Linked DNA regions of Nothobranchius furzeri. The protein of the gene in region 1 interacts with the protein of each later gene in a pairwise test. Links are inferred from orthologs where the notes say so. Each region holds a gene or a part of one and is shown on either strand. Other genes may lie near its edges.

The links. The genes of interacting proteins can lie anywhere in the genome.
Region 2: the proteins of cops5 (region 1) and map2k2a interact in a two-hybrid assay, tested with the Homo sapiens proteins (2 studies listed by BioGRID and IntAct). The link is inferred for Nothobranchius furzeri from reciprocal best matches to the Homo sapiens genes COPS5 and MAP2K2.
Region 3: the proteins of cops5 (region 1) and gfer interact in a two-hybrid assay, tested with the Homo sapiens proteins (2 studies listed by BioGRID). The link is inferred for Nothobranchius furzeri from reciprocal best matches to the Homo sapiens genes COPS5 and GFER.

The regions. Positions count from the first base shown.
Region 1 is NC_091747.1:51,739,081-51,741,977, reverse strand, and holds the end of cops5 (COP9 signalosome complex subunit 5), read left to right. Parts: intron 1-172; coding exon 173-238; intron 239-396; coding exon 397-482; intron 483-562; coding exon 563-674; intron 675-1,333; coding exon 1,334-1,482; intron 1,483-2,145; coding exon 2,146-2,236; 3' UTR 2,237-2,397; downstream 2,398-2,897. UniProt on the Homo sapiens protein: Probable protease subunit of the COP9 signalosome complex (CSN), a complex involved in various cellular and developmental processes.
Region 2 is NC_091748.1:51,292,709-51,296,747, forward strand, and holds the start of map2k2a (dual specificity mitogen-activated protein kinase kinase 2a), read right to left. Parts: upstream 2,801-4,039; 5' UTR 2,576-2,800; coding exon 2,487-2,575; intron 2,262-2,486; coding exon 2,051-2,261; intron 1,231-2,050; coding exon 1,084-1,230; intron 276-1,083; coding exon 198-275; intron 1-197. UniProt on the Homo sapiens protein: Catalyzes the concomitant phosphorylation of a threonine and a tyrosine residue in a Thr-Glu-Tyr sequence located in MAP kinases. Activates the ERK1 and ERK2 MAP kinases.
Region 3 is NC_091752.1:63,794,437-63,797,461, reverse strand, and holds gfer (FAD-linked sulfhydryl oxidase ALR), read left to right. Parts: upstream 1-1,438; 5' UTR 1,439-1,581; coding exon 1,582-1,794; intron 1,795-1,985; coding exon 1,986-2,197; intron 2,198-2,286; coding exon 2,287-2,449; 3' UTR 2,450-2,525; downstream 2,526-3,025. Other genes in the region: drg2 (developmentally-regulated GTP-binding protein 2), read right to left, coding at 998-1,061.

The DNA of each region.
Region 1 (2,897 bases):
AAACATGGACACTTCATTTGGTGCAGCGGCTCTTGGCTGCCAGCGGCATCACATAATTAAGTGTGTGTGTTCTGTGCTGTGACAGCTCCGGTGGTCAGGTTTGAGTGGTCCCCGGAGGCTTTCGTGACCTCTGACCCTGTTTTCCTGCTCTACTGTATCTCTCTCTCCACAGATCGACCCAACCCGGACTATTTCCGCAGGGAAAGTCAACCTCGGTGCCTTTAGAACATACCCAAAGGTAGAGGAAAAGAGTCGGGCAAATTATGTGTTTAACGTTTTTGGGACACAAAACACGGGTGTGCTGTTACAATAAGTTTCAATTAATGCTAATCGTTTTAAATTTAAATCTGTTCACTTTGGTTTTTAATTTAAAAAGTCTTTTCTCTTCACTTTCAGGGTTACAAGCCTCCAGACGAGGGACCGTCAGAGTACCAGACAATTCCTCTGAACAAGATTGAAGATTTTGGCGTCCACTGTAAACAGTGAGGAGCTGTAGAATAAAATCATTGCATTAAGGTCACTTTAACTTTGTGAAACTCCTTATTATTTATTTCTTTTGTAGGTATTACGCCTTGGAGGTAACCTACTTTAAGTCATCCCTTGACAGAAAACTCCTGGAGCTCCTCTGGAACAAATACTGGGTTAATACCTTAAGTTCCTCCAGCCTCCTGACGGTATGTAAACAAGCTCAAAAATCAAAATGTGCACTAATTGTTTGGCATTTTGATTTATGGTTAATTATTACACTATAACTCATTCAGACATGCGCTCAGCAGCTTGAGATGTTGTGATTTATTGCTGCAGAATAGCTAAGCCTCCTTGTTTATTAGTGTTAGTAATAAGCTTAATGTGGACTTTTGTAACGAAGATGAGTAGGAAAGTTAGGCGCTCTCCCGAGACTGATGTGAATTTGCATGGTGGCTCTGTCCTGAACGGGAATAAATATGTCAGGCTTGAACAAACGGTGAGTTTTGGGGGATTCTGGGTGAGGATGAATTGACTAGATGTCAGGAACGAGCTGCTCCACGGGCGACAGGCTTTGTCAGGAGCTATAGTCACCCTGCAAGGTCCCCGTGTCACTATTAAACGCAGCCTCACCTTAAGTCAACATTTCAGTCATTCACCACCAAAGTGTCCCAGCAGCCTGTCGGACAGATTTGTTAGCCTCCTGCAAAAAAAAAAAAAATCCTATGTAGAAAAATCTTTTGCTGGCAAATTGTGCATGAATTGGTTTCTGTGTGTGTGTGTGTGTGTGTGTGTGTGTGTGTGTGTGTGTGTGTGTGTGTGTGCGCATGTGTGCGTGCGTGCGCGCGCGTGTGTGTGTGATGATCAGAACTCGGACTACACCACAGGCCAGGTGTTTGACCTGTCGGAGAAGCTGGAGCAGTCCGAGGCCCAGCTTGGCAGAGGCAGCTTCATGCTCGGCTTAGACACACACGACAGGAAGTCCGAGGACAAACTGGCCAAAGCGACACGAGACAGGTAGCTGGATAGGGCTAGACAGTTCAAATCAAATGTTAACTAGTTTATTTTGTCATCACATGGATCATTTACATGGGCTCTTCAAGGTTCGTGGTTCATAGGATCACATTGATTGATTTTATTATTTTAACTGTGACTTCTGGCATTAGTCCACTGAAGTCTTTTTCACAGAATGACATAAAATCTGTTATTTACTTTTGTAAACTTTCAGATTTTAATTAAAGCCCTTTTTAGGCTTATTAATATTATCTATTATTTATGAACCATTTAAGTCACAATTCTGATTAAATCAACAGTTCAATTTTTTCTAATTCTAGACAAAAATCAGTTTTTGAAGCAAATGGTTTTTTATTTATATTGGGCCATACTCAGATTAAAAATATGCATTTGACACTTAATTAAATTAAGCACATAATTCAGATTTTTCATTAGAACTGTATTATTGTCTAATGTACCTTTCTTTATTTTTGTGTCAAAAATTTGTTTCTTTGCTTTTTTCCACAGAATTAATTATCAACAAAATATCAGGAGAAAAATTCAGACTTTAAAATTCAAAACAAACTTTACTGAAGCTCTGTTTTGTCTTTATAATGTTTTCTAACACCAGCAGAGATGTTTTATCTCTGTGTCGCACTAATTTTTTGTTTTTCTGTTTCTTTTTAGCTGCAAGACGACCATAGAGGCGATTCACGGTCTGATGTCTCAAGTCATAAAGGATAAGCTCTTTAATCAGATCAACACTTCCTCCAATTAAAGCTCCACCCGGAGCCAATGTGTTAGTTTTACATGGGATGTCTTTACTGTGCATGCATCCACTGTTTAACTCTGCACCATTTCTCTTTGAAGTGATTTTTGTTTGTCCGAGAAGTGGCCAAGATCGCGACAATGCAAGCAAAAAATAAAATATTAAGTGCAGATTGTGTCAGTGATTCATAATTTTTATTTGTTCATATGTTTTTTTTTGTTGTTGCAGGCTCAGCTCACTATCCAAAATGAATTAGATGGATTTTATTATTGTTTCTTTATAAGATTTTGCCTTTGAACAGTTATTTTTCCTCACATTTCTCTGCAGCTGAACATTTAAATAACACACTGTGGTCACATTTATGTCCTAGCCCTGCTGCAGGCGATCATTGCTTGTCATAGCATTACATAGTGGAACAACAAACTCAACCTCCTGCACAGGCTCAGCGGGAATCTGCTGCCATGAGTGGGTTGTCGCTGGCGTCACTTTCCCGTGCAGCTCGGCGGGCGGCGTGCTGGCAGAGTGGTTGGGGAGGCAGGTTGCTGCGAGGCTGTGATGCAGCACAGAGACAGAAGCCTCAGACACAGAAGTCCATTCACCCAACGTGTCTGCTCTCCATCGAAGCAGACACTCACCGAGTCTGCCTTTTATTCTAACTGACAGCTGCTCT
Region 2 (4,039 bases), on another chromosome or scaffold:
GTGTGTTACTAAAGCATGACTGGACAGCTCTAGTCAAGCAAGACTAGAAAAGGACTCGAGGAACAGTGAGCAGGCAGCAACAAGCAGACTGTACACCAACAAACCACAAGAATGTGTAGCTAAACCTCGCCAAAGTAAAACAGCTATCGAAATTCAATGGATGAAAAGATTAAAGCTGAACAAACAAGTCAACTCACAGCTATGCTAACTTTTCCAAGTATTTCTTCAGGAATTCTTCTGGCTTCCTTGAGAACCTGGTCCAAAGACCCACCATCCTGTACAGACAAAAGTTTACTTTATAAAGATTAAACTTTATTAACAAGTCACATCAACAGAACCCAGCTCCTGTGTGCGCCACCTGTTGTTAAACACATCATGACTGCATGTGCCCGTGTCAGATCTGAAAACACGGGTCAGATTTGGTTTGGTCCAAAATCCCTTTCAGCAAACCAAACCTGAACAACAGAAGTCACACACTAAAGAACAGTTAAGCACAGTAGCTGTGGGCTATTTAACAAATGATTAATAAAAGTAAACAAAAACACGGCCCAAATTACAGACCTTTAACTTTTACACTTAATGATTAGCCCCAGACGATGATTAGACACGACACCATTTTATAATTTACAGCGATTGAGCCAAAAGCTGAGCAGCTTCTTACCTCTTTGACCACTTTTATGAATAATGCAAAACATTTCTGTTTGTTATCCGTTAGTTTAGCATGAAGTGTTAACTTGATGTGAATGTTTACTGCTAAATATGTTGTGAAAACTCAGTAGTGAGTGTTGCATCATCTCAAAATCAGCACTGATAAGATACTGAAGAAAAGGAAAACATGTTTGTTGATTTGATTTAAAATGCAGAAGGAAATTTAAACAGAATACGCTTAAAGAAGATGAAAAGTGATGCAATCTTTGCTACACTTAGCAGATTAACAGGATTTGTTGCACTGGTATAGTATGAAGCAATGAAAAAAACTCTTGACGCTAAGGAAATCTAAAAATCACCATTAAGTTAATGAAGCCATTAATGTTTCATACTTAATGTCTGAAGAAAGCTTTAGAGACAGTCAGTCTCTCTCACCATGTGCTCCATGCAGATGCTGATCTCTCCATCACTGTAAAAGGCTCCATAGAAGCCCACGATGTAGGGAGAGTTGCATTCATGCAGCACCTGCAGCTCTCGGATTATCTGGTTTCTGATGGCAGGCTTGATCTCCAGGTGGATTAACTGAGAAGGAAATGGTGAAACCATCAATTTCCGTACAAACGCATCGATCAGGGACAAAATGACAAGTGGGACAATCTGCATGCACACTTCAAAGCAACCAATGAGAGACATGCATTTAAGTTACATCATTCAATCTCTGAACGCTTTGAGGAAACATCAGTGGACACGTCTGCACACGCATATGGACAAGTTTGAGTTGCTGCAGAATTTCTGAGAGGGTCTGCAAACATATACTGGATTGTTCCAGCAGGTTTGGAAGTTTTTTTTAGTTTAGGAAGGCCGTTTAGGTTTTGTGTTAGGCAAAATGTCAAGACTTGCAATAAACTAGAAACAGGGTTAAAAAAAATACAAAAACAAAAAACCCACCTGTTATGACAAATCTGTGTGTTTGAACTGCCAGTAAATGCCCTCACACATGACCTTTGTATTTTTCCCAACACTCCTCTTACAGAAGTGTCACTGAGGATTTATATGAAATAAGTGGTTCCCATGTAAATGTTCACATTTAATGTCAGAGTTAAACGGAGTTTAATTTTGGTGAAGGACTAGAATTCTCTGGTCACAACCATGTGTAGAGCTGCAAACGAGGGTTGCGATGTTTCAAAACTGCACTGTAAAACCAAGAAAGGCTGCACTCCGATGTTACTCGGGTAAAGAAACGCAGCACCAAAAGGAGCGAAACAACGACCACATCAAAGCTAAGAGGCAAATGTCACAAAAGCATACAAGCAAAACGCTGGCATGCCTAATCTCGCTGGCTTCATCTCCTTCCGATCGTCCCACTTCAGCTGCAGAGAAACACCCAAAGGCAGATGATCACCTTTCGAGCCATGACCAAACCCGAGGGTTTGTGGCGAACCTTGTTGACCACTCCTCCGTTTCCAGCACCCAACTCACAAATCGGGTCAAAATCTTCATCCTTCAGCTCCCCGACCTGGGCTTTCTGGGTGAGGAAAGCTTCTAGACGTTTTCTTTGCTGCTCATCGAGGTCCAGTTCACCCAGCTTCTTCTGCAGAGCCTCCAGGTTGGCTCTGATAAGAAAAGACAAGCATTAAAGATGAATAAAAAAAAATAGGGAATTTTATTTTTATCCTGATGTGCAGGTCTTATCCGACATCTGGAGCTGTCCTACAGCAGCTTTAGGCAACCAAGCAGAAATCAGTTCACTGATTGTGTGTTACTTTAAAAACTTTTACACAGAACGTGTATATTAACACACCAACAAAACACAATGACAGTTTACCGTCGGTACTTACTCTGATGCAGCATCAATGGTGTTAGAGGTGGCCTGTCCCTCCCCAATGGGCGTAATGTTGAGAGGCACGGGTCTTCTTTTAGGAGCCATTTCTAAATCCCCTAAACTAAGAACTCCCTCTCTGTAAAACACTAGATTTGAGTAAACTGGGCTAATCCGACCTCGCCCGTGCTCGAGAGTCCGTTCGAAAAAGCAACAGGAACCGCTCTAAGTGGCTAGTTACCGTAAGCAGAGATTATACACTTTTTGGAGCATGTCACTTAGCTTGTTTGCTAAAACCCAGCATGCCGATGTGCCCTTCAAACGTCGGATAGCTTTGTCGGTTCATCTATAGGATTGTGTAGTGACAGGTGTTCTGTATTCAGCTCCTTGTCGGGTTTTCTACCTGCTGCTACTAGCCATTAGCCACATAGCCACTGCTAGCTCCAGTGAAAATATGCGCCTCTCAGCCGTAAATATGCAGCGGTCCTCGTCTCGAAGTGCGTAGAAGGCAAACAGCTCGGATAGACCGAGCCGGCGGACTTGTCTAAATTGTCCCCTTGTGTTTTAAGAGGTGTGCAGAGGGTCTGAAACGCTCCAGAGCCGCGGTGCTGTCCGCTGGTGCCTTCTTACAGGAAGCAGCAGCCTGTGAGAAACCCCACAGGGGAGAGCCCTGCTGCTTCTGCTTAAATACCGCGAGACAGAAACAGAGTGACGAGTTCACGCGAGAACAAGTGAAGATGTAAATTGGGGCACATTTGTAGATTGTTAGAAGATTTTAGTGTAGTTTTAAATTAAATTACGTGAAACAATGACTGTTTAAATAAAACTCTCCATCAGTCGTTTCCGAACCACGCGGAAAGGTGCATTATTGCCCCCTACTGGACACAAGGGGAAGTCAAATTGTACTTTTCATTTTATGGCTCGATCAAGACGACCAGGCACAATTCCTGCGCAAATGAAGCGAACAAAAATATAGTAGGTCATGTAGGCATTTTTTCCTTCTGATGATTCTAGTTTTCCAGTTCAACCATTTTTCTAAACTGGCATCCTATACATTTAAATTACAGAGAAAAGACACGTTGCTGTGACAGAAAATCCCGTTAAATTGGCTAGGGTAATTTCTTTGAGTCACTTGTTGTGCACTGAACTGCATTTGGTTGAATCAAATCTCAATATCACACTGCAATGTGACCGAGAAGTGACTTAAAAACTGACTGAGGAATTGGATAGTTGTCAATAGTGCATAATTTTATATATCTGTCTGGATAGATCAACATAATATGCCACTACACTACTACTCACCAAGTATAAAATTTGAAATGTTCAGGAATTACAAATGCTGACAAAATACATTTATTTTGACTGTTAATCTGATTGAGATCACCTGTAAAGGGCAGAGATATAATTGGCTGAATCTGCCCTCGTTAAATCGTGTCACTCAAGAACAAAAATTCCAAAATTAAAGACCAGAGGCATATTTAAGAACCGGTTTTAATTCAACACATCAATAACAGCTGTTAGATTACGTTCATTTCAAATTTTACAGTTTCATCCTCAACAGGCATCAAAATG
Region 3 (3,025 bases), on another chromosome or scaffold:
AGTTTTATCAAATTTCATACCCAGGTAAGGCACATATGTTTATCCTATGTACTCTAATGCTTGAGAGCCAAGAGACATAAAGGAAGTCCAACAGTTTGATAAATGCAACTAGATTATAAATTCACATTTTACGTTTTTCATTCAATGTGAAATATTTTGCAAAACAGGACAGAATGGTTATTATAGCGCTAAGCTCACATTTTCTTTACTAAACCCCCAAAACAGCTTTCTGCTGGTGGCATAATAGTAAAAATAATAATAATAATAATCTGGTTTGCTGCTAAACGAAATAGCCAATCATAGTTCGTAGAGCCTTTCTAGCCAATCAGAGGCGAAAAAGGTGGGATCTTCCTTGGACATCCTAGGATTCCAAATGACGCATCCAGTGGTATTGCGAGGATTCGTTTTTCTGTCAGAGTGAAGGCAACAACAACTGCTGCCACCTAGCAGATGGAGTTTGAATTGCACCACACAAAAGAATTAGTGAAAGTTTGCATGAAAATTGTCAATAAAAGAACTGAAACACTGCTTTCAAATATCGATTCAGTATCATAACAAAACATCGCGATTTCTCTGGGTATCGGTGTTTTCTTACATCTCTACAGTGGACTATAGTAAACACTCAAAACCCATGAGATAAAATATTGTTTAAAAACACATTTGTGGCTTACGTTTTACGTTGACATAAAAATGAAAACAAACAACCCTTTAAAATAATTACAGTGTGTTTACACCTTAATAAAAAATTAAACTTAGCTTGATTACATGTCTGTAAATAAAGGCTACCCAACCAAGACAAAACTATTATTACTTTGCAGGAATAAAGTCAGATTAGCTCTGTCCTTATTTGGACATAATAATTTAACACCAACACCTGACACACACACACCGCCACTTATTTGCCATTGTGACCCCACAAACGTAGTAAAACAAGTCCAAAACACACCAACTTTGCCTGTTCTGTAGCTACCAGTTAGCTTCGCGGCTACACTGTTACCTTTATTCTTCTGTGTCCGAGAAATCTCTCTTTCGATTTCGGCGATTTTCTCCAGAATGCCCATGTTGGTGGTGCAGGTGAGATGCAGCTACTCTGTCGGGGAGACAAAATCCAACAGAAACGTGTCACCTCACTGCTGCTAGCTTTGTTAGCCGCCCGGCTAGCCTGCAAACAAGTCAAACTTAACGGTTAACAAACCGCATCAATAGTCGTCCACGAAAAGGCTTACATAATGAAATTTACGTCAGAATAAACCCTGAACATTGTCAATTATTTTATTCGTTAAATAGATAAAGAAATTTACTTTGACAGAAGGTTCAATCAGCCGCGCACGCAGACTGCAAACCGGAACACGGTTCGTCGCTATAAAACGTTCGGGTGAAACAAGGAAACGCAAGAATAACCAAACGGACCCTCTAACGAATTACACTGTGGAGTTATGACTAAATACACGTGATTTAGTTAACAGTATAACCCAGTTATGCTTCCAGTCGTAGCTAGTTTCATTCCAGTTTACAGACATTTTTAATATTTACTAATACTCGAGGTCAATTAGATAAATATTAACTCAGCAGGAGAGAAACATGGCTGCGCCTGCTGGTGCCGCTGAATCGTCAGGCGCCAGCCCGCCGGGGTTCGAAGGTTTCCCCTTCCCGGTGAGCAGCAGACCACAGGAGGACAGCTCCGGTAAAGGGCATGAACAATCCGGGGATGCAAGGAAGAAGCCATGTAGAGCCTGTACGGATTTTAAATCGTGGGTGAAGCTACAGAAACGGCAGGATGCTGATGCTGCTCAGGTGACATGACGTTTTAAGTTAATTAAAAAGGGTTTTAATCTGTTTGAAGGGCTTTAACGTGTTTCTCTGTCCCATATGTTTATTTGTTACCAATTTAGTGTTAGTAAACTGTTATTTATAGTGTAAATCTCACCCGATCCTATTATTTTATGACCTTTGTCTCTTTTGTGTGTTGAAATCTGAACCCACAGGAAACTCGTCCTGCAGAAAATGTGAGACCAGATCCCCAGTGTCCACTGGAGAGGGATGAGTTGGGCAGATGCACCTGGTCCTTTCTGCACACCATGGCCGCGTATTACCCAGACCGTCCGTCTTCCAGCCAGCAGCAGGACATGGGGCAGTTCATCAACCTGTTCTCCAGGTTCTTCCCTTGTGAAGAATGTGCAGAAGATCTCAGAGACCGGTCCGTCCATTTTACCCAGGTTTCAGATCCAATAAGTTACTCTTCTGTACAAATGCTGGAGGCCAACTATGTCCATGTGCTTCCCGCAGATTAAAAACCAAACAGCCGGACACGAGCAGCCGCTACGCTCTGTCTCAGTGGTTCTGCCATCTTCACAACGACATCAACGTCCGGCTGGGAAAACCCGAGTTTGATTGTTCACGTGTGGATGAGAGGTGGAGAGATGGATGGAAAGATGGAACCTGTGACTAAGTGTTTGTATTAAAAGTTATGTCACTAAGAGTTTATTTAATAAGTATGATCGCAAAATAAAAAGGAATTAAATGAATAATGTTTTGTCATTTTTTGGTTAAAATAGGGTCAGAGCTGGCCCAAGGCATACCTGAGTTAAGCAAATGTTTGGGATCCCCATGAGCATCAAGATAGTGGGAAAAATGTTTTAATAGCTTTAAGTTATATAAACACAATTATATCCCATGTGGAAAATGTATTATTTTCTATAATGTAATTTGGTTTTAGCTTTAAGTGATTTCGCATTTCATACATCTGCTCCAAATTTTAATGCCAAAATACTTGAATTGTTGAAGCTCACACTACTAAAAGTAAAGCAGAATTTTTTTTCTAGAAGTGTATTTTTTTATCGTCACAAAACCAAAACAGTGATTCCATCACTACCAAACAACTAGTGATACCACCTTAACTGGCATTTAACCACTTAATCAGTGTGCCATGTTGTTTCCTCACATCCTTAACTAGTTTTATTCTTTCTATGTGTTTTATATATAATTCAAACAAATATATTATTATGTAGTCGTACAATTATTGATA